Lepisosteus oculatus: one gene and its partner. The protein of the gene in region 1 interacts with the protein of each later gene in a pairwise test. Links are inferred from orthologs where the notes say so. Each region holds a gene or a part of one and is shown on either strand. Other genes may lie near its edges. The genes, in order: srrm4 and zrsr2.

The links.
Region 2: the proteins of srrm4 (region 1) and zrsr2 interact in binary tests that used the Homo sapiens proteins (3 or more experiments, as listed by UniProt). The link is inferred for Lepisosteus oculatus from reciprocal best matches to the Homo sapiens genes SRRM4 and ZRSR2.

The regions. Positions count from the first base shown.
Region 1 is NC_090717.1:4,261,652-4,278,422, forward strand, and holds the start of srrm4 (serine/arginine repetitive matrix protein 4), read right to left. Parts: upstream 7,336-16,771; 5' UTR 6,743-7,335; coding exon 6,612-6,742; intron 1-6,611. UniProt on the Homo sapiens protein: Splicing factor specifically required for neural cell differentiation.
Region 2 is NC_090710.1:20,149,073-20,165,082, forward strand, and holds the start of zrsr2 (U2 small nuclear ribonucleoprotein auxiliary factor 35 kDa subunit-related protein 2), read left to right. Parts: upstream 1-7,191; 5' UTR 7,192-7,254; coding exon 7,255-7,295; intron 7,296-7,771; coding exon 7,772-7,851; intron 7,852-7,979; coding exon 7,980-8,097; intron 8,098-8,513; coding exon 8,514-8,622; intron 8,623-9,850; coding exon 9,851-9,937; intron 9,938-12,578; coding exon 12,579-12,617; intron 12,618-12,879; coding exon 12,880-12,995; intron 12,996-15,387; coding exon 15,388-15,601; intron 15,602-16,010. Other genes in the region: rbb4l (histone-binding protein RBBP7), read right to left, coding at 537-663, 862-1,022, 1,385-1,500, 2,008-2,181, 4,263-4,408, 5,155-5,299, 6,427-6,442. UniProt on the Homo sapiens protein: Pre-mRNA-binding protein required for splicing of both U2- and U12-type introns. Selectively interacts with the 3'-splice site of U2- and U12-type pre-mRNAs and promotes different steps in U2 and U12 intron splicing.

The DNA of each region.
Region 1 (16,771 bases):
AAATCCTGTTTTTGAAGTCTTCAGTACTGTATTCCAATAAACTGTTATATTACCAGAAAATCCTTCATATCCATATAATATTGAATCAGCTTTTCAGTGAAATATACATATATATAAATTTTTTGTGCTTGTCCACATCTGATAGAAATGTCATTAAGTATAGAAATATTTAGTGAATGACTAAATCTTAGCTGGGTCTGCATAGTAGCCAACACTGCAGGAAAACAACGTTAGTTCTTTCAAAGATCTGAAACATAGAGTAATTTCGAGCTGTACTGTATATATGCAGCCTTCAATCAAATAAAAGTGAATATAGTCCAGTAATAGATATTAAATATAGACTCAAAACAGAGATGACAGATTTGATTTAAAAAACTACAAAGAGAATAATTTGTCCAATTCGTTTAATTGGCCATAGTAAAAGCTTAAGTAAGCTTTCCTGTCCTAGTACCTGTATTAAAACAAGCAGCGTTGCTGGGCAGAAACAGTAAAGAATTCTGTGAAGAGCTTACAATGAGTCATTGGAACGCCAATTACTCTTAATTAGGAAATATGATGAGAGAGCATTTCAAGAAGTAAGAAAAAGATCTTTTGGTATACAGTATAAACAGAGTCCAAAGGTAAAATATTAAGCAAGAGTGTTCAAACGTCTTCCTCAGCTCACAAGTTTTCCAAAATGTTCAAAAAAGTTCTCTAAAGTCCAAATTTGTTCAAAATCATTCATAACATGCTAAGTTCCTCCCAAATATTCCTTAATGTTCCAAAGAACTCCCACAAGTTCAAATGTGATGTGAAGTTTTCACCGAAGTTCAAAATGCCAAGTTACTAACTCAGATTTCTTAAATAGATAACAGTTCTTGCATTAGTTTAATTAAATTGTTTAAAAAATTACCAGGATAAATAACAAAAAGATCTTACACAATATAGTCATATTTTCAGCTGTACTAATATTTCAAACAAAGGTTTCCATTTGTAACATGTTCTAAAAACATGCCAACATTTCTCATTAAATAATTAGTGTTGACATTGAGTTGAGTAATAGTTTTATGAAAATGAAAAATAATCTTTGTCAATGAAATTAAATTGGAAGAATAAAATGTTGCTTCTTAGCTGTACTCATATACAGATGTAGATTTTGTACATTCATTTGTTATAATTCAGCTCAATATTTTTTTTTACTTCTTGTCTTACTGTCTGGTAAGGTTGTCTTGTCTTACTGTCTGGTTGTCCAGCTCCATGTCTGACTAGTTTTTCTGTGTTGCTGTGGTAAGGGAACTGTTCTGAACAACAGTGCAGTTACCACCCACTCTCTGAATTTCTTTGCCATTAGATTAGAGTGGAGTTATTCTTAAACCTCTGAAGGCCACTATGTCAGCCATTCAGCACTGCAATAGCAAGACACCAACAGCCACGCTGAACTTTAATTGCTTTTCAATCTTTTTCAGCTCTGAACTGGAGAACACAGCACTACAATCAGACTCTGGTGCAGTACATTGTACAAGAAAACAGTATTTGTGGAAAGCTTGCAGTTAGTTTAATACTGGAATAGAAAGAAAACCTACAAAATACCAAACAATAAAACAAAATTTGATCTAGAATATTTTCACATCGATTGCCCAGATCAAAAAAATGGTGCTGGTTTGGTGAGGTGGTCTCTCCCTTGAGCCTACTTACTGTTGCATAAACAATAACGAATGCTAAAAAATAGTTTCAATCTAATTGTTACTTATTGTATTGTACTTGGTCAGGACTATGTATTCTGTCTGCACAATAAAAATGAGTTTGTGCTTGATTCATCATTACAGCTGTAGCCATCACATTATACTCTTCTGATATATTCTCTGGTACAACACAGTGACCATTGGATTGGTAACTGGTCCATTTTTATGTCAATTTTATTTAAATTCAATGCTGGATAAAATGCTGTGTAGGTGGAACCCAATCACTTTAAACTTAAAAGTGATTTTTCAAGGGTGGCCCAACAGCTTTTTAAAAGAGCTTTGTAATTACATTTAATAAACAGCCATAGTAACGGAATAAATTTGGAGCCAAAATGACAAAAATGTGATTTGAAAGAAGCAGTATGCCTCCAAGGCTTTCAATCAGGTACATAATAGCAGCACAGTTAATTAGACTGTGCTTGACAACATGTGCAATCAGACATTACTAGCCTTACGTCTCGTTATTCATTCAGGCTGCTGTACAGTACGTTTTCAAGACGAAGAGTTAAAAATGTGTCAAAAGCAAAATATTCCCCTACTAGATTTTTCCACCTCATTTGTGAAAAGAAATATATTTCCCTTAAAACTATTGCTTGCTAAAGAATGTACATAAGAATACGCTAAATTTGTAAAATGTATATCCCTTATTTTCAGATAGATACTGTATATTGTGGCACAATATGGGACAAGGGTACAGAGAGGGTCTTTATGGAAATCTAAGATATATCAAATATTTATCATTTTGCTTATTTAAATTCAGTGGCTTGGTGAGCCCATAAGCACAAACTACATTTCCCAGGTGGCCAGTGTTGATTAAGGCCAATGGTATATTTGCCCTGAGTTAACTGGGCAAAGGAGTTCTCAATGAAGGTCTGTGCTCAGGTACATAAGGGTGTGACAAACAAGAGACACCTTTTAAGAGAGGCTAGTTTGTCAGGCTGAATCTGCTTATAGTCCTATAATCAAAATAAAGGCTTTTGGTTTAAAATAGTCAGCTGATTACCCATCAAGCCATTTTCCAAACCTGTACGGAGGGACCGCATAGAGAGGACTTTTGGAAAAGGAGCAGGTATTCTTTAGTTTTTTTTCTTTTGAAAGTACCAAAGTCTGTTGCTCGGAGTTGGATCATCAAAATCCTGTTAATTAAAAACAAAGCGCAAGGACAACTTCACATTTTCAGCACATGCAATCTTCTCCCTATGTTAGAGGGCAGGATAAAAAGAGCTTGGGTGAAGTGACCAGCACCCCAGTGCCTTTTGTTGCAATGCTAATGCTCGTCCTGGGGACCCACACACTGAGTGGTGTGCGTTGCAGTCAAACTCTTTATTTTAATTAATCCTTAACTGAATCAGCAAATTGCTGGGTTGAACTCATTGCTAGTTTTACTCTATAAAGCTTGGAGATCTTAAGGGACTTATATCAAAGGACATTGTGGACATTTATCAGTCTTTCTTAAGGGGATCCACTTCATAAAGGGATACTGTATGTTTAGAGCATGAATCAAGCATTATTTTAATAAGCAAACAATTCTGATCTCTGTTTCCATTAAGCACTATATTTTAACAGCCTTAAAGGATATTCATACTGAAGATTTTGTATAAAGGCACAAAAAAACATTTGAACATCAGAACCACTCAGTTGCTTAGTTATTCTAAAAAATAAGTAACTTTCAAATAAAGAGGAAATGTATAAAACCAGAAATGCTACAGTCCAGTTCAACATTTGCAAAGTGAAAGACAGACTCTTGGAGGAAAGTGAGGATTTTATGCCGTTTTAGAAAACATCTTTGACGCTGTAAAGTCTAACTGAGTTGAGCAATGCACATCTGCATGATGACAATTTCAGCTCAGGCACATCATTTTGATTGTGCTCCGGCAATACATATCACTGTGCTTGAGCAACTGCAATTACAGGATGAACAAAAGTTCTTGCAAAGTTTTAGTGGGTAGAGTGTGGGACCGGCTAAATAGATACTCATCAGTTTAATATCCTCCGCACTACCACTAAGTACTCTAGACCACAGCATGAGTCAAGCAAGCACACACAAAGAAAAGAGATGTGCACTATTTAGCCCTGGCTGGGTAGCAGAGCGGTATAGCAGCGAATGATACTGCCACACAACGTTTGGGTCCTGGGTTTACTTCTGGGATAGGGTGCCTTTACTATGATTTGCACATTCTTCCTGTGTTTCTATGGGCTTTCTCCATGTGCTCCAGTTACATTAATGTGTGTCTGTAAATAGTGTCTGTGCACTCTTTGAGGGTCCGATATCCCCTCTTGTGCCTTGTGCCTAATGCTTGCAGGTTGACTCTAGGTTGTCACAAGTCCGAACCAGGAATAAGCAGCTTGCTGATAATGGATGGGTGTATGCATAAACACAATTTCCTTCATGGTGGATGTTTTTTCAATGAACACGTAATCCCTTGTCCTTTAGATCAGGCTGATACAGGAGTTTGCTTTTAATCCCCTCACTCTTTTCCTCTTCAAGCTAGCATCTGTTCAGGAAGAGGCACTCACTCTTAGCCATCCCCTCTTCTCCCTTTCCATCTCCCTGCTTGCCATCTGCTTCAACTCCGGTTAGGTCTCCTCCCTCCCCCACCTTCTCTCCCCCTCCAAAACTGGTTGCATTTTTAATGAGCCTCACCCTGGTACAAAACAGCTTGCAGGATATAATGACCCAGAGAGAAACCCTCCAGCTGGAGTGTTCGTGAACACATCACCCTTTTTTCCCCCAGAGTTGAAAGAGGGTGGGGGGAGGGGTACCTCTCTAATTACCCAACGGCAGTCAGCAGGGGAGGCTATAGTCAGCTCCAGTGACGTTTGAAGAAAAGGACAATACATAGAAAATGAAAGGGCAATAATTACACATCCCCATTCTGTAGTTTCCTTTTTCTCTGCTATCAAGCATTGTCAAATGCCCAGTTCAGTGCTTATGCACTGCAGTATGTTACTTCAGCAAAGTGGAAGATTGAGGCCTGCTTACTCAGTGGGGATGAATGCTTTCGATCTGCTATTACAGTACCCACAAATTCTGTTGAAAGAGATATTTCCCTTTAAACAATGAATGGCTTTGGATCTTTCCCAGCATAAGTTCCTCAGGGTCTTCTCTGTGTTCTAGTGTGTATTTAAGAATGGATACAATAAAGAGAAAGAAAACCCTTCCAAAGCTTAACGGTGGCTTAGTTACATGTGATTTTTAAAAAGGATGCTGGGTTTGTAATCTGTGTGCCACACCTGCTAACATCCTCTCAAACACACAAGAGGTGAGTTAGATCGAGCACAACTATCAAACAATGCAAAAGTGACAAGAATGAAGATCATAATTTTACTGGGGTATACTGTATACTGTATGATGTTTTACTATCACACTGAATATATTGGATTCTATAGTATTCAGACAGGATTCATGTTTGAAATTGCTCGGTTACACTTTATGTAGAGAAATTATAGAAACCATATAGCTATAATAAGAAAATAACAGAGGGCAGACTTTATTATTGTTGTGCTTGTTCTGGAAAACCACTCTCACAAGTAATTAAATTTGGATTATACTATGCTATGGAAATGCAGCTGAATATATAATTGAAATACTAGATTAGTTTCAAAGAAAAGCCCTTATTCTGTCAGAAGGGAGTATTTCCCTTATTTCACATTTTCTGTACAAATTGCTTATAATTCATCAGTCAGTTTTGTTAAAATAAGAAGCTTACCTAAAAAAAACAAGTAATCATCTTCACCAAGCAAGTAAGGTATTAGCAAACTGTCATGTCTTGATATTTATTTTTTAGGAAAATATATTGACACATTCAAAGAGTAGCTAACTACATACATATATCAGTTAGGGAATTTTATATCATTAGTACTTTTGTAAACGTTTAGTGTCTCTTATGCCCCCTCTGATTCAAAACATTAAGAAGAAATACAGTATGTTTATTTTACAAGCTAATTCACTTATTTACTCACATAAAAGCCACATTTCTAAAATAATGCAAGTGGTTTGAAAAAAACAACTAAATGTTGCTTGCCTGTCATCATTTTAAAGAGAAACGGGTTTTAACTCTGAATAGTTTGAAAAATAAAAATATCGGAAGACCTGAAAAACATTGTAATGCTCAAATGTATTATATTCTGCAGTGCTCATCTGCTAACTACACAAACTGGCTACAACTTTGTATGGCAAAGAAGGTTTCTGCAGACTTCAGTCAACATTTATGAGCCTCTCATAACGGTCTGCCCTCCCAATGACTGAATTAGGATTGGGTGAGATAAGAGTTGTCAGCGCTGGATCTTTACGGAATGTAAAGACAGCAAAGCTGGGATAAGAGATACTGGCAGAGCACACAGTGGTTTGAAATGAATCACAAATCACTTTTCACTTGCCAATGCTAGCTGCTGATAATCCAACAAGTCACCTTTGTGATACTGGTGAAAAAAAGAATAAATAAGTAGAGCAGCTCATATCTGACAAAGGCAGAAGACAGTTCAGATCTTAAGGCAGAAAACTCATCAATTTTTGTAGGTAAAATGCAGTTTTTACACAGTTTGCCCCTTTTTGGCAGGTCACGCAGACGTTTCCCAAAGATGTGTAATTTATTAACCATTGCCAGTTATGAGGAAAGTTAGGTGTGGAGCCAAAAAGCTTTTAAAGACAGCCTGTTCCTCTGGGCCTTTTTCTATTTTCATATTTTGTTTATAACATGATGCACTCAGCAACTCAGACAGAATCAATTAACTGAAAAAAAGTAGACAAATGTATCCGAAATTAATCAAGGAAACGAATTAATCCGAACCATGTGTCTTAAGTTCGGTTTTAAATTCAACAAATAGCCCTATTCTTCTCATAAGTTAAAGGTATAGTTAAGTGGATCGGTTTGAAATGAAGGCACTTACTTGCTCAAAGTCCTTCTGGCTGTTATACTGGCTACAATGATGCTTTCTGGTCTCGGAGTGGCCACAGCTTTGAAGGTTCCCTTCCAGAACTTTTCAAAGAGCTGCTTCTCTCCTTGCTGCACGCTGGCCATGGCTTGCTGCTCTTCAGACTGGGCTCGTGTGACCGAAGGCTGGAAGTAATGGGGGGAAGTGGCTGACAAGGCTGCTGCTGAAGCTTCAGTCGCCGCCTGCTTGCTGCTGCTTCTCACACACAACACTCCTGAGCAAGGGAGCTGTCCAAATACTGAAGCCCAGAGCTGCCGCAAAAGCCTTTAAGTCTCTTCAAATGCCAAGGAGCAATCAGTTACTGCCGTTTCCTGTCTTTCTGTCCATGTGATAATGCTTGCTCCACTAGAGACAATGTGATGTCACAAAGGCTGCACGACGCACCATTTATTTAAGGGTTATCATTATTTTCACCATCCCTTGCCTTCTGTTCATTTGCCCATGGATTTCTTGCTGTCACCTGCTTTGCCTTGGTTCAGGGGAGGCAAGCCAGTGTCCAGTCCACTCACCATGAGTTCAGTCTGCGGAGGCTCTGTCCGTGCCGCTGGATGTGAGCTTCGAAGAGAAAGCCAGTGCGTAGCCAAGGACAGTGTAGTGTCGTGTGGCTGGGAGAGTGTGCGTGTGTGTGGATGTATGTGCCCAGCTGACGATCTCTTGTTTTGTCTCTTGTAGGCTCTGACGTTGAAGCTGGGGTTGGGTCACCAGAGTAGGATGTCTTTTCTCTCTCTCTCTCTCCTCTCTCTCTCCTCTTACTCTGTCTCTCAGTCTTCAACAAAAAAGCGGAGCCTGCTGGTTCCATCAGCATAACAAAAGGCAGCAGGTTTTGGAGAATAGGCATTACGTGTGCCTGACACAATGCCTCAGGGGGAATTGCCTGAAACTTCCCACAATGCCTGTGTGTCATTTCTCTTTGACCCAGAGGTGCTCAAGGATGGAAGAGAAGCCAGAATAACAGCCTTTTGTCTTATGATAAAGCAAATTCTCAAACCACCTCATATGCTCTATGATATCCTCTGTGATAGATGTAAAAAGTTACGGATTCATTTATCTGTTTTTGCTCAATTCCATGTTAAAAATGAGTATAATGTTCCAATTTAGCTTCATGCTCTTGGCGTTGATTAAAAAAGGTACTGACCAATTGTGTTAAGTGAATGTACATCAGAATTATCTGGAATCTTAAAAAACCAAGGCCGAAGCATTCAGTAAAAGGATTTTAGTCTGAAACTGAAAAAGTAAGCACTACTACTTTTTCTTCTTTACTGAACATAGATGTGTGATGTAAAATGCTACAAGAAAGTGTGGTGGTGAAAGTGTTATAAGTGTTTTTTTTATAAATCAAGACATTTTAAATGTATTCGACATATTTTTAACTTCTAGTTGCTGTCTTGTTGAAAGAACTGTAAATTGGTTTAAATACTTTACAGATGTTATAAATAGGATTTTCTTACAGTATTTTAACACTAAAATATACAGTACACTAAATATATGCAACAGTGAATTTCACGGAGCCTAGTTGCTAGTTGCTGTCTTGTTGAAAGAACTGCAAATTGGTTTAAATACTTTACAGATGTTATAAATAGGATTTTATTTTAGTATTTTAACACTAAAATATACAGTACACTAAATATATGCAACAGTGAATTTCACGGAGCCAGCAATAGCAGATAGGTTTACTACAGCTGAGTGCCCACATTTCTATTACCAACCTGGATACTGGAAGATCTTGTTCAGTGGTCTGCTACACAATTTTGGATTATGATCCCATTTCCAGGGCTCCTAAGGTTCCAAAGAGCACATATCTTGAGCCATGAATATGTTCATATTTTATCTGCTAAAAAAACAAAGATATTGGCAGAGATACATGAAAAGCATCCAGCTCCTAAACCCAAAAGAGACAGAGATAGTCTTCTTATCCAGACTACATATCTCCATGTGTATTGTGTAGCGTGTTGCCTCTAAAAACACAATATATTACAGTAGACTCTACTCAATGTATTTATGTTTTGAATTGATAAACATTTTCAATACAATCTTTGGGTCCTTTTTTCTGATTTACTCAATGCTTAGGTCTGGCACAAAATGGTAATTAGGAAATAAAGAACTAAAGTGTTATTTCAAAATAACTATTTGTGTTTTTTCCAGTATTCTTTAATTGTACCACATTGCTTCCAATGGATCCCTTGAGTTAGTATTTAGGTTTTGCAATTTTAGAAAGTCACTACCAAGTGTAAAATGCAGTATGGATTAATGCGTCAAAGCTACTAACAACAGTGTAATGTGGTTGGCTCCTGGGCGTTTAACTTTGACTGCCTTCATTAAAATGCAAACTGTGATTAGCAGAGCATTCTATGACTCCAGTATGTCCAGTCTGAAATATGATGATAAGGTATTGCATTTACATTTGGTCATGTTTTTTGCAATTGCTTTTTTTGAACCCCTTTTCAATCTACAAACCTCACACACCTGAGCCCAATCAGGTCTGCTCAAGGCAGAAAACCTTCCTGTCAAATCTTTCTTTCAGAGGGAACTAGGTCATAGAATAAAAACTTAATGAGATGGCAAAAAATGGGGAAACTTTACTCTTTTCCTTAGCATAAAATGGTTTCCTAAGCATTTAGGAAACAAGCCTCAATGCATACAGTGTATATATATATATTATTGAAAATAATAATATTCCAAAATGTCACAATCGTGTACTGTGCACCTTCTAAATTTAAACTTAGAAGAAGGACACCTTTTACTGTTGGTGTTTAACCATTTAGGAAAGGATAAAGAACTATTTTTAGTGTCTTATGTGGGTAATGGTTTTAACTTAAGCGACTAAAATTAGTATTTATTTATACAGATTAACTTTTTAGTGGAGTAGTCTGAATGAAGTACTGTACCTAGCTCATGGGTACAACAGGAGGCCCCACCTGGAATCTGAATCCACAAACTAATATTGACTAATATGATTCTGCATAGATCTATAAGTAGCCAACTGTATTGTTCACACTACTACCATATTCACTTCATTGTCAGACATGCTAACGAGTTGTGGCATTTGAAGAAGTGCACACATTGACACTTCAAAGTGAAGGAAGAAAGAATTCCTAAAGCAACAGCCAAGTAGATGAGTATTAAGCACTGGTGCTGACACAAGAACGTAATGCTTTTTCTTTGGATTTGTATGGATGCAGGAATCAAATCCCATTTAAGGTTTGAGATTAGTTTAATTGTAACGGAAATGGCGATTTCCTGAGAACATTGAAGGAGACATATAAGGCGTATTTCCCACAACAGTGTTACAGAGGGTTTTATAGGCTCTGTACGTCCAGCCATGCTGTTGCTATGAATGGGGGTTTAAGAGTGATCATTTCCCTTGTGGTCTAGTGGCTCCTTCTGATTATGTTATCTCACTTTTCAGCTATTTCTGAGATATCATGTACAACAGCAGGTGTCGGTTTAAAATTCACTCAAGCCTGGTCAGGAGTTATGACCCCAGGCCAGAGTCAGATTTCTACAGATTCATATTTTTTTTAGATTAGTTTTGCTTGTGTATGCTTTCTCGGTTTTCGGTCGCACTCCAAAATGAGTCAGTTAAAGTAAAGGAAATCTTTTCAATTACACCTCTTGCTGTTGCAGAGGTATTGAGCAGAGACATGTTGTGCAGTCAATCTCCCTAGGTAATTAAACTGCATACTGTAGCTCTCCACCAGCCCTCCCTCTTTCTGCTTCTTAGCTACAGAGATAGATAAGGTGTAGGGGATTTATATTAACATGTTCTCTACAGTTCTCCAACATTCATGTAGAAACATCAGTAGCTGAGCAATGCCAATCCATGATTTTTTGGTAACAAATAATTAACATTAATTCAATCTGTGAGCTGAATAAAGAAGTAAGAAGCATCTATATTTAATGTCAATAAAGTTTCTTAACAGAAAGAACAGCAAAGGTCCCATTACAGTTCTGTACTTGGTAAATTACTGGCTACAGAATGTTATTATATTTGGAAATTTTGTGGCATTAATAAAACATGACAATTTTCATAGGCACTCACATTTCTCATATTGTTCAATTAGAGGGAGCTCTATAATGATTTCTCAATTCTCCTGCAGTTTTGGGAGCTTCACCAAGTACCATCTGTAATCAGTGCCCTGAATCTCATTTCTGTTAATAAATATTAACACAGATCAAATTAAATAAACAGAAGCCAGAAACTATCAGGTGATGACCATTGACGAGAGTCTATGACCTTCATTAAAAAATATTCGAAAAATTCCACTAAGTGAATTTAGGCTTGTTGGCCGCCCTTGGTAATTGCTGTTTGTGTATTTTTAGAGCAGCAAACTGGTTCTTGTCATAAGTTTTATTAAGGCTCAACAAAGGGGTGAAGGGGAGTATGCATAATTGTCTTTCCAAGTGCTCCTGAACCGTTGAGCTCATATCGCACAATCACTCCCTAAGTTGACACTAACTGGCATCCAATTCTGCAGACTAGGCTTAAAAAGACCCATAGAAAAAGCATGATAATACTTTTGCTGAGGCAGCGGGAACAGATACAGTATATAGATTTTGTAATGGAGATGTTTTGTGCAACAGTGATGGAGAAACCTTTCTGTAAACCCCCATTATAAAAGAGAACCAAATTAACAAACAGGTGGATTTGAAGACTTCAGTCCCTGAGCTAATTAAAAAATTTCTGACACAGCATGATTAATTGAAGGTTTCAAAAACACCTACATTGCATTTACAATGGCATAAGACATACAGTACAGTATATCTTCTTAAAAATGTCATTCCACATGTGGTTTACAAAGTGAAGACAAAATATATATGGTAGCTACATATCTGTAAATCAGTTGCTTGTTTTGTTACATACAAGTGCAAGAGATAATGAACTGTATATTTGTTTTTTTGAGTATCTCTATATAAAGCACAGAACATCAGCTTAAAGAGACTCAGACTGGGTAAATGGTAATTGAGCTGGAGTTAGACTTGACAGTGACAGCACCATTTTCGCCAGCTTCTTAACGGAAAACTGAAAATATTTTCTCAGGTCCATTGCTCCAAGACAAAATGGTGAATGCTAACAGAGTGTGAAAGATTCCCCCAAATTTCTATCAAAATCAGTAGGAAGGCAAAAAAGCTCAAATTTCTGCATGTAAGGCACTGTAAACTGAATATTTGAATAAAAATGAATGTACTAATAGTCAATCATATAGTATTTCCTTAAAAGGATAAAAACTATTTTATTTGTTGAATGCAAGAGATACTGTATTAATAGTCGCGTATCTTTGTTATTTTCATTATATGAAGTAATGTAAATTAAAGCGACATCATTTTGTTAATATATTATTTGTGCAATACCAGTGATGATCCTCAAGTTTTATTTAAAGGGTAGCTGCAACACTGTTTTTATCTTCATTGATGAGTGTATTTCAAACCACAATAAAAGTACACAGTAACTTTTAAAAATCTCCAATTTACATCACAAAATAGACAATTTCAAGGTATGCGCAACACAATATTCTGCGATTCAGGAGGAGACAATAAAACTTCTGATGATGTGATGCAGCCCTATAACATTGTAAATAAGCAGGCTTGTGAATATCTCTTTTAATCCAATAAAAATATTGCTCTCAATTTTGAGACAGTTTTCTGGACAAATGCTATTTACTTGTTAACTCTGCATGCTGATCAAGTTGAAAGATTTCTGTGGTGAAATGTCTGCTGCACAGCCTGTACTTATTCACTAGTACATCACATTACATTAGTCCTTATGGTGACTAGTGAGCAGGAGGGGCTGCAGCACCTTGTTTGTGACAACATACAGTAGCAACTTACAGTACTTTCACAGAGTTCACACTTTTTTTGTGAAACCATGTCAATTAATTAACAGTATTGTGTTAACGAGATTTAATAACCAGTCTGAGAAATTGGGACTGCAATTCTCCTTTAATTGCATACATTATTGTATTCATTAAAGATCTGCCATTCACTCACTTACAAGCCTCAATATCTGGGTTATTTTAAAATATTTTTTATTTGCTGGCTCCACACATTTCCTGAAGTGGAGAGTATTATTTTAGAACCCTGACACTAATACATGAGAACACAAAATAGTTGATGAGGGACAATAATAATAATAATAATTGCTTGGACACTCCACTCAAAGCGCTTTACAGGTAATGGGGACTCCCCTCCACCAGTGTGCAGCCCCACCTGGATGATGTGACGGCAGCCATAGTGCGCCAGTACACTCCCCATACACCAGCTATTAGCGGGGAGGAGAACAGAGATATGAAGCCAATTCATAGATGAAGCCATTAGAATATACATATATGTTTGTAAGTTATATTAAATTGCCTCTTCTCTGAGGTTGTACAAGGCATACAATCAATAAATTATGAAGCGTGTCAAACTAATAAAAATACCCTGCCTAGTACTGTATGTAAAAGACTTGCTGTGGCTTTAATTGAATGTAATATTTAACAGCACTGCTAAAAGCTTATAAAGTACTAGGAAGGGGTCAATATAAGTCTGTTATTTTGAGAGACATGACAGTGATAAGTAAGGGTTAGAGCGCCGTTATTTTTGTGTGCTCTTTGTACTCTTTCAAAAGCAAAAGGCACAGCATCGGATACTGAACAAGAAAAAGGTGAGAGGTTCTTTCCCCACACTAAATTATACTATCATCACTGTCACTCAGCTTTCACTCATAGAAAAAGAAGCTTACAGCATAAGCATCACATAAGATAAACATACATTTTTTATAGTGTGGTAACAATAACTTCAATATCTCACTGTTTTAGAAGTCATTTACTTACTACTGGTTCTATATAATTCAAACATCATTTTTACATCAGTTGAGGATGGATAAAGGAGGATTTCCAAAGATAACCATATTTACAGTATTTGTTTAAAATAATTCATATTTATCTGTAGCCTGTGCTTTGTTTTAAAATGTATAAAATGCATTACAGAAGATTTATTGCTGGGTGAAGAGAATCGGAGATAAGATTTCTTCCTGCAAGAGAAAGACACAAGACTTTACAAGGTTTTCCTCTTTTTTGGTGTTTTAGCATCAACGTTGACCACTTTCCCTCATGGCTTCTCGCTTATTAAAAAGTTAGCTTCCTAATAATATCTGATGACAATCATGTTTACATTTTCCCTGTAGAAATCGCGCTGTAGAAACAGAAATCTAAAAATATGCAGCTGAAAACAAGGAGCTGGTGTGTGCGTATGATAGTTCATTTATAGACTGTCTGGCATTGTACAAACAGGTTTAAGTGAACACAGGAGACTGAATTTCACTCTTCTGAGACAGCAGGGAGAGCAAATAATTGACCCAAGGCATCCTATTTATTTTGGGTAAATTGATTCTGCCTATCACAGAAGCTTCTCCTTTCATTTCCAGACTTAGTACTTTGCAGCAGGTGGTACAGATTTAATTGGTACCCAATGCATAAAAAAAAAACAACAGCAGCAATCAAATAGGAAGACATAGTGAAAGTATTTTTAACTTTTTTTTTTACTAGAAGCAATGACCTGACTTTTAACATTTAGAGTGTCCGAAAGCAAACATGGAGACCTGTTTTTCTGGCTGATTTTTTTTTTGGGGGGGGCATTGGACAGTATCTGTAAGTGTGAAATAATAGGCTGAGATGAAAAATGAAACATGTACAAACAAAAGAAATACAAAAGTCAGTGCTTCTTTGGAACCTATTAAACTCACTGTGTCAAGCGATTGATAAACATAAGAATTTAACGTGACAGTTTGCTTCATACACATCATAGGCAAGACCTTCAGTGAGGATTTGAATTTTATCATTCATTTAGTAATCACATAATAGTCTGCAAAAAGAAAGACATAAGTATGAACACAGTTATTCCTGCAGATACAAAAACAACAGACATACAGTATAGAAATAGTGAAAAACTGTTTTTTCTTTCTTATGATTTCTTTAGGCTGTCATACCTCTGCATTCCTAAAGACATTGATGACTAAGAAGGCACATGAATGAATAAACCTTGATGTAGGTTTATTCATTCGTGTGTGAAGACTGTCTAATCACACACAATGTATAGAATTTGCGTAGCTATGTTTCTGCTAGGTTATATTAATAGGTTTTTCAATGTGTGACACAGTAATTAGAGGAAGAACTGAACCTTTTAAATAGAGAAGACTAAAAGGGGACCCAATTCAAGTATCTAAATTTCCTCAAAGGTACTGAGCAAGTCCACCCAGCATACAGTACATCTATAGAATCAACAGTGACAAAAACCAGAGGATACAAGTGGACAAGCTACCTGGCCATGTTGTTGAATCTGTGGGTTATTTCCATGCTGAAAAGTAGAAAGAAGAAAAAATGTGAGCTGTCAGCACAAATTCTATGTTATAATCTTTGCATGTTTGACATACTGTACCCGAAAAGGTTCCAGACAAAATATTTTTTTCTTCTTTCTTTCTCTCAGTGCCGAACCTATAATGTTTTTGAAGTGAAATATTGTCAGAAAAAGTGTGATTTAACCGTTGTTGAACCTCAGCATAATTCAAAGTCGAAGTTATAGAATTACCTGTTTCTAGAACAGATGCCTTTGCCTTATTCCCTTTTGTTTATTGTTAAGACTTCCTTTCTAATGCTCTGGGCTTGAGCAGCTGATGATGAAAAAAAAGCATCACAGATTGATTTGCTGTCATAATCTAATCAATTAACCTGATTCATGGAACCGGTGTTGACAAACACAAATTCCCACTGTAATGACTTTTCTGTGAGCATATTTCAATCTTAATTACAGGTTATGATTTTTTTCTTTTCTGCTTAAGGTCTTCCCTATCCTCTGAGGCTGTTGCCTGGTTACATACTCCATAATGGATTGAAATTTATTTCTATATACGCATTATCTATCTACTATGGGTATGAATATTAATGGGCTTTTCTTTCAATTACAAATCTACAGGAGATGGAACTGTCTTATGACTTATTATTCAATGTGTTTATGGATATTAAGTCAAAGATACTGTAGCAGCCAAAGACAGCCGGCTATATTTGCTCATGTATTATCGCTCATATTATTGTTTAACTGCATGACATAGTTAACTTTTGCCAGTAACATATGTTAAATACTGTATGTTTTATGTTATATCTCTCTATCTCTATCTGTTACCCTCCATAAGACATTAAAGCATACTGTATATGTGCAAAAATACCCAGAAAAAAGGTACAGCAAAAAGTTTAACTTCACTGTCCCAGTATTTATGCACTATATCTATATATGAATTAACGTATTTCATAGGAGAGGGTGCGAGTTAAGAACAGAGGTTTTGCCTATGGATAGACAATATAACACTCATCATAACCTGAAGATGTGATCATTTTGATATCTGTTTACTACATATAAATGAATGTACAATACCTTATTAGATTGCTGTGGTCCATCTTATAATCTTTCAGTGAACCATCGTTGCACAAGCTCTAACTCATATAAAACACTGTTCTTTTGTTTTGTTATATGTTAATTACAATCATTATCCTCAGAGAAAATCTGTTGCCTATACTTGTTTTCATAGTGTATTGGGAACTCTGTCATTACTGATATACATCTGTTGTACATCTGTTTGCTCAGCGATACATTTTTAAATCAGAAATTGGAGGGGTATCCCTGCCAGCCATTCAGTGAAAGATACATAGAAACCTTTGGTTTGACTGATATTTAACAAAACAACTGCAGGATCCACTGGGAGCATTCAATTTAACGGCTTGATATTTTCCTGAGAAGTGGAAAGTCAGCTTGTATATGCTATTACCTTAAGGTTTCCTGCTCTTGCCCCTCTAAAATTGAATCTGACAAAGAGTGGAGAATATGACATCTGCAGTAGCTAGATCTACAGGAAACAAAAAGTAATTAATCCCCAAGCTTTTACTGTAGTCTCAGGATTTGAGATGAAGGTCTGCTAATGTATAACCATTAGCTTGTTCCATGTTTAGTTTTAGACCCCCCAAAAATGACTGTAATAATCTAATATTTCAGCTGCTTATCCATCTTTCAGAAGAGCAATACACCATGTCCAATTGAGTTGTTTAGGATTTCGCCATTATTTAGAACGATTGGAATAGAAAAGCTTCTTT
Region 2 (16,010 bases), on another chromosome or scaffold:
TCTGGGTACAGCTCTTTTGTTGTCAGTTTGAGTTTGAGTGTTTTCTTTGTGGTGTCCTCCAAATACATATGGTGAGCACAAAAAATAAAGCACATTCCATCGGTTTTCTTTTCACTGTTGTACACATCTCTATAATTTAAATGAATTAAAATCCTATCTAAGTCAAGAGTCATAATATTGAGCAACAGGAATCCAATTTCCTCCATGCAAAACCCGATCCACACCAGCCAAGGGTGACAGACGACGGTGCATGTCATTGTCAAAATGATTAGAGACTGGTTTACAATTGAAAATCCGTTTTCTGCAGCAGCTCTGTCACAAGGTGAAGTATATACAAAGGCTGCAACCTGATTTCCTGTGACTTAATGTTAAAACACAAATAGGCAACAATGGTAAGATTTCAAGATGGCAAGTGGTGGAGCAGATGGAAGCTTTGAGGATGGTAACCACCAAAGCATTTGTGCCAAAAAGAGCACAAACGCTTTCTCGTGACCCTCTGCCGTACTGGAAGTAAAGCGGAGGACAGACGTCCAAACCTTGTCAGCGGAGCCGGTGGCCAGGATGAACTCGCTGTAGGGGTTGAAGGACAGGCAGTTGACTTCCGCAGTGTGGGCGTCCACAGAGTGACTGGGCTTGGACGTGTTGTTAGACCGCGTGTCCCAGCTGGGGAAGACACACCAGTCGTACGGTTAGTCGCAGGATTTAGGAAAAGGTTACAGAACCGGACAGTGCTGCACAGGCTGATTTAGCCTTTGCAAAACGCCCCCCCCTCCGCCTAGTTTCTCTGTCCGTATATCCTGAAGAGTCCGCCTGGATCTCCAGAGATGGTGTGGAACGGTGGGAACGCTCATCCGCACTCACATCATCAGCTTCTGGTCGTCGGCCACGGAGCCAAACAAGGACTCGTGGAGCAGGTGCCAGGACACATCCTCCACCACCGCGGTGTGGCCGGTGAAGATCGTCTTGGCATCGACGATCTTTCCCTCCTTCGGTCCTCCGCTGATGTCCCAAAGGCATATTGTCTAGAGCAAGAGAAGAAATAGCCATTTCAGATGTTTTAAAAGCGCAAGAAACTAGCAGAGAAGCTAGAGCCTTGTTTTTAACCCCGCCCCTTCCTGGAGCGATGTGCAGCCTATTACACCCAACGTCACGGCACAGTTGCTCCAGCTCCGTAATACCATTTTGAGCCAAATGGAAAGTTTGGCTTAAACTGAATCTATGAAACTTTACAGCACTGGTGAATTAGTGAACTCACAGGAAAATCGTCAAAAGATCAAGGTACATCTGGCCCTACAGCCACCACCTCGTTCAATGCTGCTGATCTGGCATTTGGAAGTGCCGCGACGACGCGACCACGGCGCGGCGGTCCCCGGGGGGCACTCACGTGGTCGTCCGACGCGCTCAGCAGGTTGCCGCTCAGGTTGGGGTTCCAGGACAGCCCGTAGCCCTCCTTCTGGTGACCCCGCAGCCGCAGGTCGGGGTTACACTCGCCGCTGGGGTCTGCAGCAGCGCCCGGGGCAAGGAAACAGGGCGCGTTACAGCCGGCTTCGGGCAGCTGAGCCCCGCTCCCCTCGCTACGCGCCTGCGGCTGCAGACTCCACTGCCAGCACCGCACAGCCCCGGGGAGGCAGAGTCGGTGTTCAAGCATGCGCAGGAAATGGGTTCTGCTTCCAAATTCAATTTGCTCAGCCCCGAATCAAATAGATATGAATTATGTATTTACACAGATGGAGACCCTGTTTCAGCAGACCCAGGTCTTCACTCCACACTCACACTTTCTGCTTCCAGCTGTTACCTGCAGCACGTCGCAGCATGGCTTGGCTCCTCACTGCCCGTTTAAAACTGTAGCCTTAAAAGGAAGGTCGCTTATTTTACCAGCTAAACAAGCTCCTGTTGTGAGATGTATTATTAGTTTCCCTCACAGATCCACACCTCCTTTACTTGGTAGAAAACTGCTTTGAAGGGGCCCATTTTGAATACAACTGAAAAAAGTCCACGTTCACTTGCCTGGTTTGGAGGGGTGTTTGGTGTAGTCGAAAACCAGGACATCTGAAGTTGGCGTCTTTGTCGCGATGATGCAGGGATTCTGTGGCATGTACCTTGCCCGGTTCACTTCTCCCTCGTGATTGATCTTGATTTCAATTTCTATCTTTCCACTCACTGATCCAAATCCTCCAAATTCTAAAGAGAATACAAAAATAATTAAAAACAGGAACAATAAATGTGTTGCAATTGAATCGACACTGTTAAATGTTTTTTTTCCTTTGATAAAAAGCACCTGTCCTACAACATTAAACCCGTTACATCATACACAAGTAGCTAAATGCTTAATCTGAAAGAAACCCTATAGCAATACAAAAACACAGTAGAACAACAAATCCCGAAAACAAGGAGGCCAATCATAAAAAAAGCAAATGATCTCTGTGCAGTCAGGACTCTATCATATGATTTCTATGACTACGAAAAAAACCTTCACAATATCTCAAGTTCAACTGGAAGCTAAAACACACACAAGCATCACAATAATGCAGAGGAAAACGACTAACTTCATAATGTTCCTGAACAAAACTCAGCTATATATTTTAACACAATTACAGATCTTTTGGTTAATTTTCCCATGTTAGTAAACATAGCCAATGAACAGCTGGCACCTTACTCTTGCTAGGGCGTTTCTCAAAAAGAGTAGGGGTTTCAACCCCTGTGTCCTGGCCAAATTTCCCCCTGGCCTTTACCAATCATGGCCTCCTAATAATCCCCATCTATAAATTGGCTTTTTTTTATTACACTGCTCTCCTCCCCACTGATAGCTGGTGTGTGGTGAGGGTACTGGTGCACTAAGGCTGCCGTCGCATCATCCAGGTGGGGGCTGCACAACGGTGATGGTGGAGGGGATCCCCATTACCTGTAAAGCGCTTTGAGTGGAGTGTCCAGAAAAGCGCTAAATAAGTGTATATAAATTTAAGGATAATTTATTCCAGATCATGTTACCTATAGCCTCACTGCACAGGGAAGGCTGGAGAAGGAGTGCATCCCAAAATCTCCAAAAAGGGCGGTGCGCTCCCCAGAATGTATAATACTACCTCAGGAAAGGTGCTCATTTTGCGACTCATCCCCTCCTGTAACCTGGGGTGTGTGCTGGCCGTGCTGACTGGTGCCCCACAACCCCCAGGATCTTTTCCCTCTGCAGCCCAGCTGAGGAATCGCTTACCTGCTGATAAGGGGAGAATGAAAGAGCGTTATTTTATAGAAGTTTCACAAGTCCACTTCCCTTACACTTTTCTAACAAAAAAGACACACTGAAGGGTAACGTTAAAAACTAATCTGCAAAATGCTGCATATCAAGCTTGATAGAACTCAAGGACACCTACAAAAACGTTAAAATCCGACTGCTCTCGTACCGGAATCCGACAAGGTTCCTCTGCCATTTCACGTTTTTCACTTCACCAACCTATAAATCGTGACTATAAAAATTCCTCAAATTTGATGGACCGTATAGGACTGAAATATGACCTTTTTCTATCGGTCACATTTAACCACTGTACCTCCAAATAATTCAGTGGTCAAAAAAATGAAAACAGATCATTGTTAGAAGACGGTAAGGAAAAAAAAAAGAGTGAAACATATTTATAGTGAAACAAAAGACAAATCTCCCATGAAACAACATTACAAGTTACACGGGCACAATATTTAACCTTTACAAAAGCCACCTAAAAATGAAACACCTCTTCATTCTCGTTTGGAAAGAAATAAATCCCATCTTAAAGGTTTCTTCCAATACCAGTCTGGTCCAGATGCACAATTCATCCTTTCCTCAGCACCCTTGCTTCTCCTATTCAACCATCACTGCTTCTACCAGATTTAAGATCTCGTACATTCGCTCTGCGCCAATCCCATCCCCAATCCCTCCTCTTTCCTTATATCCCGGCAGCCTCTCTGCTCATTTTCTGCAGGATAATTAGCTGCTCTTCTCTTCCCTCTCCTGCCCCTCTCTTCCCTTGCTTCACCACTGCACTGTCTCAGACCTTCAGCTGGCATCTCCCAAAGACCCCCTTGCCCAGGCTACACCTTTAGATTCATCCCTGTGCTCAGAACTGAATGGAAATAGCAGACTTTTTGTCTGCAATTGCTTTAATTGCAGAATGTACTTCTACATCCTCTATTGTTTTCAATGCAATTACAAAATCTGTCATCTGCTTAATAATAATCATCATCATCATTAATCTGACACTACACACTCTATGGGGCACACCAGCCTGTCTCACCTCCTTTTTCGCTGTCATAGTGGGAGGTGTCAAACTGGGCGTCGTCATTGGGGATCTGCACGCTGGCGATGACCAGGTGGTTCTGTTCATCTGAAGTGTGGGTTCCCAACACCAGCCGATGAATGGCATAGTCCTTCCCTTCAGGCCTTTATATACACACACACATACGACAGTCATGAGCATTAAAATGAAAGTACCTCTTATAAGTCATAAAAATTAAATGGAAACGGGAGAAACTGCACTAAAAAAGACCCGATTAGGTACTATTCTTTTTTTTAACTATTTAAGTAAAGGAAGTCATAATAAGTCAGGATCTTAGTAGAATGTTTTGTCCAGAGGCCAGCACCTCTTACTGCGCATCTAGGTCACCACACTGGTCTTGACAATCTTGGTTGAGAGGAAGGTTTCCCACCTACTGATTTAATAACACCCCTTAGAGCAGCAGCCTGGTTTTCCTCAGGTGCCTCCCATCCCAGGACTGACCAACCCCAGCCTTGCGCAGCTTCTATAATCTGACAAGATCGCCTAGAGGGTGGTAACAATGCAGTGCATTCTGCAAATGGCTACACTACTGCTTTATAGTACATTTTCTGGGATATTTTTTTCCACCATGCCTCAATGGTGCAAGATGTTAATGTTGAAAACCCAAATGAAAGCAGAAGATCATTCCAAATAACTCCTGATGACGACAAAATGCAAACAGTATTGCATTCTGAAGCCACCACACAGTACGGAGGCCTATTAGCAAACCCAGAATTTACTTGGTCACAATGACATATACAGTATAAGATCCCTAACAGTGATCCTTAAACTGAACTTAATCCTTAAGTTCTATTTCTGTCCCATTGAATTGGGCCCCATTAAAACACATTGGCTTCCAAACATGACTTACCTATTGACGTCTGGCAGCCACTGCACAGTCAGGCTTGGCCACTCCAGGGCATGTGTCATTACAAGGTCATACAGGAAAGGTGTGTTCTTCTTCCAGATCTTGTACTCCTCATTAATGACCCTCTCTTCCACTGCATCGTCATACACTGCAAAACACAGTGGAAGCTGTGAGACACTGAAAAACCATGCATTTTCTCAAAAGAAAAACAGAATTGCAGCTCCCTTATGTCATCCGCCTCCCACAACCCTCAGTATCTTAAAATCAAGGAAAGAAAAATGCTCAGCTAACACTGCGTGTCTCTGTTGACATCTGGAACCTACAAAGGCAAACGGCACAGCCTTCTATCCCAATTCCCACATAAAGGAGAACACAGGACACAAGGGAGAGAAACCCTTTCAGACCATACAGTTCGCTTGGTTGCTAAATGGTGATTGGTCAGAGGATCTCGTCCAGCTGTTCTGTGAAAGATCCTGGGGTTGCAGATTCAACAACATGGCAACAGGCTTGTTCCAGACTCCCACAACCCTTTGTGTGCAGAAATCACTCCTGTTCGGTTGAACTGCACTTCCCTTAACCAAACTTAATGATGTGCATTTTAAAGGCAGGGAAACAACTCCCCCTCCTTGAAATTAGTTGCTAAAGGAACGATTCTAAATGTTCACAGTACATGTTTTATTATTATTATATTGTTTTTTTAAGCCAAGATAAAAGGTGTATGCTCAAGTTTAAATTTGCCATCGACCCTCAATCTCTGGTTTTGATTTCCATTGCAATAACTGGATTTCTGTAGAACTGTATCTGCGTCAATCTTAACTCTAGACAGACATTCAGAGTACCATCTAAATTAAACACAAGAACCATATTCCTACGCAGCCCCAAGGAAGGGATACAGTAAGCAGAGTCACTTTAATCTTCGAAGTATTTGCATGTGTGTTTTAGAGGGAAAACAGCACAATCAGCACTCTGTTCTACACCAATCGCAAAAACAAAGTTCCAGTTCTAATTCTTTTCTTATGCTAGAATTTTTAACAAAGGGGAGTAGATAATTCACAACACGAAATGTAACGGGATATTTTAAGGAAATCAAGTCAAACTCCGTTTTCTATCCACTTTCCAACTTTCCAAATCTCCAGCGGAATTTTTAAACCAATTTTTAACCAATGCAGGGTCTCTCGGGGTTGTTTTCCAGCGGTCAAAACAGAGAAAAAAAAATCAGTCGACACCAGGATAAAGCAACACGCACAATAAAGGACAAGCATGCCCCTACTATACCTTCTTTGTCCGCCATTACTCAGCCCTCGTTGTTGGCGAATATACGTCGCGAATTAAGGTATTACAATGAGATACGCTTGCTCACGGGAAACAACGCCGCCTTTTATTTTAGGTTTTATATGCGCCAAATATTAATTTTAGCATCAGTCTCCTGCTGTACTCCCCTTTCAACAATCCGCGCCTGTACGTCGCCAGAGAGCCAGTGCGCTTGCGCCCTCTCAGACCACAGAGTTCACCGCACAGGCGCCTGAACCTGCACAGCTCAAAGAGGGGAAGTTGGGCAGTGTTTGAGTTTTTAAAGAGCGGGCCTTTTCAGTTTTTTTTCTGACTCGGCAATGGGATACGTTATCAAGACGTTTTTGTGCTTCTTATTGATGAGTACCACCGACTGTACAATGTTCAATGAAGAACTACTGTCTCGGTGTTAGATAAACCGTAAAATCGTTTAGAGAAGATGATTGAAAGCCCCTAAATGAGGATATACTGTAGTCCATTCATTAATACCACTGATGCCATTTGTTAAATACCTATAACTGAATGAACTGAAATGGAACATATAAAGTTTAAAATAGCACATATAGCAGTGTATGCTGATTATATCAACAGCTGATTTTTCTTTTCCCTGTCAAATTATGCCCTCAGAAAAATAAATCAAAACTTTGTTGCACCAAAAACAATAGTGGGGTGGTATATTTTTGTCAAAGGTAATATAAGCCAATCGATGTAGAAGTTATTAAAAATGTGGGTCTATTAAAAGCATTACAGCTCGTCTATGACATTAGGAAATCGGTTCACTTATGATCCGGACGTGACGTCAGAAAAACAAAGATGGCAGCGCCCGTGGTAGCGTTGACGAATTCAGGACTGAGGTAGTATTTTGAATTGTGAATAAGAGTAATTACAACAGGATTTCTCCCATTTAAATTGAACCTAAGCAAGCACTGATATGTATAAACTAAAACGAAAGTTTGATGTGGTGTAGGGATTGTCTTTGTTTTCACGTAGAAAGGGTTCGATTGGAAAGTACGTTTATGTGACAACGCAACTACATAAATTAACTGGTATTTCTTTGCACTAAGAGTCCTCAAATTAAATATTGCTCTGTTTTCTTTGAAATATATAATTTACTTTAGAAATGTATGATATATGCACATGAAGTACTGCATCCCCTTACAGGCATCTTAATTTGTGGTCACAGAATAGTTTACTCGGATGCAAATAAGTTACCGATAAATAAAATAAGATTTTGTTATAAAAAGGAAATGGAGCAATTATTTGGTTACACAGGCGAAGGGTAGTGTGTTCCTAAGTGTATGTGTAAATAACCACTTATTCTCCTTTACAGCCATAAACAGCGTAGAGCCGCACTAAAGAAAGAGAGACGGAAAAAAAAGCGCCAAGCCTTGGCGAAACTGAGGGATTCAGGTATCGCTTACTATGTTGTGTTTAATAATAAATGGTGTGTTTGCAAACAGTTATATTTTAGGCATTTGGTGTTTGCTACAAAATTGTAAGGTTAAGTTTTCTGAATATGTATTTCTTTTTTTCTAAAGAAGAAAAAATTGCAACTCCTTTTGCATTTTTAGAAGTAGGAGAAGAAGAGGAAGCAGAGAATGAGACTTTACCAGATCAGGATGACGAAGAGGAGGAAAAGAGGGCTGAAGAAGAAAGGTTCGTCTCCCTAGTCCCATCTCAGCAGCTACACATAAAGACGCTGCTCTTTGTCTAGATATTAAGCCAAACTCATCACGTTCCTCAGCTTTTTCCATTTGATTGATGTTCCTGGAGATGGAGATGTGTATGTTCTGTCTTACCTCACCTTTGCTGGATCGACTTCCTTTCTTTTAAAATAAGACAGTGTAGCCAAATGCTGTTGTAATGCTTACCTGGCTTAATAGTTAATAGTTATAAAGCCTACCTGGTTTAATATACATTGAATTGATGCTGTCACTGTAATGTTATCAAGAGGTTTTCACTTCCTGGTTATCACCTCACACCACCTAGAGAAGGCGGTAAATATGTGGTCTCTTATATTTATATTCTATTAATAATCAAGAGTGAAAATTATTTTCCTCTTTGCTGTTTAGGCAACGTCTGCACTTGGAGTGGTTGGAGAGAGAGAGGATTGCTCAGGAGGAGTTCAGGCTGAATGAGGAGAGGGAGGAAGCAATAAGAAGGAAAAAGGAGGAAGAGGAGGTAAATTCAACAAAACACAATGTACAGACAGACTTTGGAGAGGAATTAAGACTTCATGACAGTATGTTTAAAGAAAATATACCCAGAACTCTTCCCCTGTTGTACACTGTTATGAAGTCTTTAAAACTATCTTAAACCTTATATGGTGAAATAGAACTAATGCTAAGTGACCAGCATGTATATTATTTACTTTTAATCGGAAAATTAGATCAGAAGAAGCATATCATATTATCCTTGTATGGTTTTAGAAAAAAAGTGTATGGATATTGATTAAATATTTTGGGTGTCTTTTTGACTAAATGATCATTCAGAACATAATGTAATACCCTTGGCTGACCATAACTGTGGCACAAACACTCAGTCACTTGATTAGAAAGTTGATTGGGCATAGATGTTTTTGGTATTTAATCTATTAAATGTCAAACCTATTGAATATCAAGAAAAAAACAAAAGATCAATAACCTAAATTAACTTGTCAGCCAAAATGAACTTGTTGGATGATAAATTTAGCAAGGTTTTGTGTGGATCACCCCGATGTGACTCAGATATGCAGTAATATATGCAAATTGTTCACAGCAGACCAGTCAATGTGGTCCAAATGTAATGGCTTGGGCAGAAGTGTCTAGTTGTTACAAGATCCTACTACATCCTGACTATGTCACTGCATCGGTCAGGTCCTGAGACCTCACTTGCTGACCCTTCTGCTGAAGAAATTGAAATATATCATGACTGTTCAATGAAATGTCAGTATATTTGCCACAGAAGAAATAAATATTTTCTGCTAACTTTGTGAACTTGCAGCACTCAGTACATGCATGAGTTACAGATTGCAGCTGGAGGATAATAGATAGCCATTATGGCAGTTAATCTCTTTGCCCAAGGATATCCGAGAGTCACCTTCTCTAAACTCCTTCAAATCCAGACTCAAAACCTTCTTCTTCAGAAAAGCCTTTACTTAACTGGTTCCATTCTTAACCCCTCTGCTCTTCTTAGTACCACTTCCACGGTCTCCTCTATTGTTATTGTTGTAATTGTAATTGTGTCTTATCTTGTGAAATCTTCTTATCTATTGTTGTAGTCTTCTTATTGTTATTGTCATCCTGTAAAGCGCTGATACTTGTGTAAGTAACACCTTTCATTATAAATGTGTTCTTTCTGTTTTTATTAGCTTATGGACCTTTCTAAACTTTTTTGGATTTAAAGTGACTTTGTTTTATTCTTGTTGCAGAGAAGAATAAAGGAGGAATGGGAGGAGCAGCAGAGGAAAGAGCAGGAAGAGAGAGAGCAGAAGCAGCAGGAGAAGAGAGAAAGAGAGGTGATTCCTGCTCTTGGAGGATAGCTAAAGAGCAGCATATCCTAACTGTTTCTGTTAGTTCACACATCACATCACTTTCAGTAACTACTTATCCAATTCAGGGTCACAGTGGCCCAGAGCCTGTCCCGGGAAGCACTGGGCATGATACACCCTGGATGGGACGCTAGACCATTGCAGTGCACACACACTTACACTGGGGCCAATTATAAAGAAGACAATTAACCTGTTGGCATGTTTTTGGGCGATGGTAACTGGAGTACCCAGAGTAACCCATGAGCACACTGGGAGAACATGCAGGCTCCACACGGATGGCAATCCAGGGCTCCAGTGTTGCAAGGCTCAATGCTACCCACTATTCCCCTGTGCCATCCTCTCTTAGTTTAGTGATTCACTAACTCTCCACCTGATATTTTTATTAACACGTGAGTAGATCTGTTGTCATTACTGATTGGTATTTACATTTGAGTTTTAGAATGGTGTGCTGTTCTAAATTTTGAACTGGGTCTCAAGTCTGAAGGCAAGCGATTCTTTACATTATTTGTTTAGCATTTGACTTTATAAATAGAACTTGGTAATATAGTAATATTCTATAGTAATATAGAAATATAGTAATGTATGATAGAATATACGAAGACTTCATTTGAATGCCTTGCAAAACACTGTACATGACATGAAAAATATCAGAATGGCTCTCTCTGACATTTCAAAAATATTTATGTATTTTTGCTGTCTCCATAAACAAAAAATGTTAAAGCTGATTTTTTTTTAACAATCTTAAGAAAATTGTTTTATTTTTCTGGAGTAAGCTGTGTTCCATTCATTGCTGATCTTCCTTAACCAAGATAAACTCAAAGAGATACTGTACTGCAGATCACCTGCTTCCCCTGGATGAGAAAGTATCTTTTTATTTATAAAAGTTTATAATGCAATTAGGTTTTCTGCTGTTATTGTTTGGCTAAATAGACCATCATGAATTATTTTAGATTTTAAAGCTAAATATACTGATCTCAAAATAAAATGCATATGTTTATCAATATTATTCATCATAACTGTGTGGAAAAAGGTTTGCATTTGAAATGAAATACGCATTAATACCACTGTTGCAGATGCTTGCTTTGATTGAAAAGCTGAAAACCTCTCAGAAAGTTGGGCATATGCGACCATGATATGTGTCCTAAGTACTTTTTTTTTTGCTTTAATGGTTGTCTTGACTCAGACTAATTTTGACTGTTTTATTCCGTACATGTTGGAAAACTTTTAAAAATTATGAGAAATGTACTTCTCCTTTCGATAAACCTGTTTTTCAGTTTTTAATATGAAAAACGTTTGCCAACATTTTAATTTTTATATACTAAAGAACCAGAGATTTTATTTTTAACCCATTTAAAACTATAAATATATGCACAACATAGATATTTCCTTGACAGTTTCAGCACAACTAGATTTTGTGTTCAGCCCTCATTATTTCACATGTAACATGAGGTCCTTGTGAAAGCACTCTTCAGTTCGCTGAACCATGCCCAGATATATGCAATCAAGGTACTTGTACTGGGCCATTTTGGGGGGAAAAAAAGCAAAGAATTAAAAGTAATAAGAGCTTCAGACCTCAGCAGAGGAAATTAATTTGATTCCTCTTACCTATGGGGTGATACCAACTTGTTTTGTAGTATCCGTTGGGTGCTCACATTTTCAGATTTCTCCCAACGTAGCAATTCTTGAAAGGGTCTGGATCTTCACACTCTTTAAAATGTGATCCATATTCATTCTTCAAAGATATAAGCAATGGTCTGAAATTAGTTTTGTTCATCACAGAAGCCTCTAATTATCTGTCAAGCTGGGTGACAGGAACACTGCCAACATCTAATAGTGCTCATCAGTTGGCAGTAGAGTCAGATATTAAAGCGCTGTTGTTGTAATCCATAGTGCCTCCAGACATGAGCTAAATCCAGAGTTAGCTCGTGCCATGGAAGATGTAAAAGAGTAAAAGATCTTTATTGCAATAGAATTATTCGTATTTATTTTCATGTCTTTTTGTTTTTTAACGCTGCTTTAAGGTAGATATAGTTGAAAGAAACAAGACTGAGAGGCAATTGCTTAGAAGTTGTGTTCCCTGTGAAGAAAATGCCCAAAGGGAGCTGCATTTTGTGTACAGAGTTGTGAAAAATAGAATAGAGTTTTAGCATTACATCCCTCGTAACTCCAGACATGTTTGTAATATAAACACAATAAAAGGGTGAAGAAAATGTGTGATGGGGAAGATAAAGTGATAAAGTATATTAAATGGTCCAGAATGTTCGTATTTTAAATGTATTAACTCAAAGTAGATAAAGAGTTGAGTGGTCAGCTGTTGTGAAAATAAATGTTATCTGATAATAAATTCCATATATGAGAAATGTATTTTTAAAGAATCTCTTCTGTAGAGGTTGAGGGCTTTACTGCCTAATGACCAGATTGTAGTATTGATGCTACTGCCCACTGAATATGCAGTATTTAATACTTCTGTATTCCTGTGTTGGGGCATATACTTTAACTGTTGCTGTTACTGTGATGTTTGCTACATATATATTCTTAACCAAGGTTAACAGATATCTGCTAGCCCACTTCAGGGTCTTTACCAGTCCTGTGTTTGCACCATTTGTAGGAGGCTGTGCAGAAAATGCTGGATGAAGCAGAAAGTCAGGTTGGTATAATATCACCTTTGTTGCTTAATGTTAAAACCAACATTGTCTTTTATTTCTGCAAGTCTACAGTAGTCTGTTTTCAGCACATTCTTGGTTATTATCCTACCCTTAAACCATGGAGAATCCTCACTTCTGTTAAAATTTCCCTGGAGGTTGTATAACATACAATTGTAATACGGCTGTGTACTTTATCAATACAGTGTGAGCTCTAGAAATCCATAAACACTGACTTGGGAATTTTCATTTGTGATTGCGGCACAGCTAGGGAATGGTGGTACATGGGTGAACCCTGAAGCACCAGAGGACTATGGGACAGAGAAAGACAGGGAAAACTGCCCTTTCTTTCTCAAGACAGGAGCCTGCCGGTTTGGAGACAGGTACAGTGTTGCTCAGTTTCTTTTATGTTTGCTGTTGTGCCTTAAAAATGTTATCATTAGGTACAGAACTATGCATTTACAATCTGAGAAAACGAGCAGGAATTACATCCCTCATTCGCTACAATCAGGCACCATCTAAGATCGGAGAAACCAAATATATGGCCGCTTTAGGAGAATACTACCTGCATTTTGTTTTTGTTTTCTGTGCGCTAGATAGATCCACATTATTATAAAAACTGACGGTGAACATACACATTTGAGAACAGGAATTTGAATGCTTGTTCATTTTCTTACTGGTTTACCGTCTTGTCCAAAGTATTGCACCTTTTACAGCAGGGTAAAAAACACACCCGAAGAAGAAAGAAACACAGCCTAAACGTGTTTCTTTTCTTCTCTTTTCAGCATGAAATAAACCTTTACCTGTTCCTTTGCAGAGTAAAAAAAAACATATGTGAGATGAATTTGTGATTTTGAATATTTAATTAAATTGTCATCAATGTTCTCCTGACTTTTCAGTTTGTGGAGTAGTTGACATAACCACTGCAGCAGACTGATGCGGATAGCAAAGAGCAATTTGGATGCACCATCATTGAGCTATTCTGATCATGAACTAGCTGTTACACTGTTTCCAGTCTGCACGACTTGGTTAGGTAACAGTATGGAATGAAAGCACTGATGTGGCATGCTGAGCAAACACAGCTTGGCAGGAGAATGTGCATCCCAATGACAGGACTAACCATGATGCAGGATAAATCACAAATGATGGAAATACAGAAAACATAAGCTGAATCAATTTCCTGCTGTATGTTAATATCACAGTTCAGATCTGCCTGGGCATGACCTCACTATACAGATGGATCTGGTTTTTGCCCTCATTCCCTCACATGTGTAATTCAGGATACACACAAGATGAGATGAAAAGCAGTTAGAGATTCACCTTTATCGTCTTATTACCAATACAAATAGGATATAGCCTTTTCACCTGGTGTATAGTTAATTGACGGAAAATTAATAGAAAGTTTGGTGTTTTTTAGTAATATAAACTCTCCAAATGTGTTGTATTGTTTGACACAAAAATTATCTCGACACAAAGATTATCTCGACTTATAAGTCGATCAGTATGAGTCTTATTGCTTTTTGAGTTGAACTTTAGGACTGTGTAACAACACTGGTAAATTAATTAAGTCAAATCAAAGAAGGACCAATGCTATCATACATGATCTCAGCAAAACTGTCTCACTTTGATTTAAAAAAAATCAAATAAACTAACAGCCATCATACTGTTAAATCAACCCTAAACCAAAGGAAAATAACTGTTTGATTTGTGTTGTCAAGAAACAAAAATAATCTGAAGCTTGTTCAGACACTTAATGAAGTAAAATTAAGAATCAGTTTTACTTTCATTGTGCTCTTGCATTTCTTCACCTTAAACTATAACAATATGAATAATGACACTTTTCTTTATGAGTAAAGCAGGATAGTAATTTGACAAGATTGCTGTAATTAAAGAACTTTAAACCCTAAGTGTAACCATCTAAGAGATTGACTTCTAACATAACTATAATTCAAGTGACATAAAATAATTATTTAAATTGTCTGCACCTAGAAACTATGTGCTAGACCTGGGAAGTTACTGGAATGACAGACCCTCAAGAACTAAACAGGTTCTAAGTTGTCTTGATAGACCAGAAAGTGGTACTTTTCCCTCTGGACCAGAATTTCCATTCTAATGCTAGTATGACCAGGTACATTGTACTGAAGTACACCCTGTAAATAAAATGTTAAACAAATGTTCTAACTCTCTAACCATTAAAGGAACCGGGATGTTAGCACTAGTGTTCCGGCTAAATTCCATTTGTGCACATTGAATCTCTTTAAATGCCCAATTAAAGAAAAAAAAAGAGAAATGTTTTACTTCTATACCTGATAGTCTATGTACAGGGGCTGCAGGTGCATAATGAGTGCTGTGCATCACCCAGGGATTTACAGTGTTATATAAATGTTATTAAGTGTAATAAAGTATTATTATAAATGACCTACGTTCAGTCCATTTTAAAGCCATTATGCAAATTTAAGGATACAATTTGGCCTGTATACTGAAAACAGCAAGAACTAAGATATATGAACATTAGAATTCCCAAAGTATATTTATACAATTTTATTAGTATTTTAACTTACTATTTAATTGTTAATAAGTGGTAGCTCTACTTAAAGTTCCCTTTTTATTAAAACATTTCCCATGTTCTTCGCAAGTTATCATGGGACTTGGTCTAATAATAAGCATACAGTATGTGAAGGTTTTTAATTTACTGAAACGATTAGAAATTGGAACAGTAAATTGCCGAGTGCTTTGAGGGCTTTTAAAAATCAATCAAAAACATGTTTTACACAGGTGTTCTCGTAAGCACACGCACCTGACCTCCAGCACCACTATGATGATCCGGGGAATGTTCCTGACCTTCGGAATGGAACAGAGCCGCCGTGACGACTATGATACTGATGCCAGCCTGGAGTACAGTGAAGAGGAGATCTTCCAGCAGTTCCTGGAGTTCTATGAAGATGTGCTCCCTGAGTTCAAAACTGTGGGAAAGGTGGTGCAGTTCAAGGTAATTTCTCACATGCATGTACTCATGTTTAACCTTCATTCTTTTTATTAAAACACATCTGTCTGGGCCCTGAGCCTATACCTGCAACAGGCAAAATGGTATTAATTGTGAATTGACCTTTGGGCTTGAGCATTATTTTTTCTGGTCATGCATTTTTCCTACACAAACATTATTGTACATTCCCTCACTCTTAACCCATGTCCTGCCAAAAACAAGAAATGCTGTTTTGTGCAATTGCGATTTTTCTGTGCTATAGAAATAATGTTCTATCTCAAATGTGCTACTCAAGCAGGCCCCTGAGAGTAAATATGTGAAAGGATGCTGACCTGTTGAGCCAGCTGAACTTTGGCATTAGCTGATTCTGCCTGTGATTCTTCAGGCAGTGGTGCACTGTTGAGCAATAACTTCA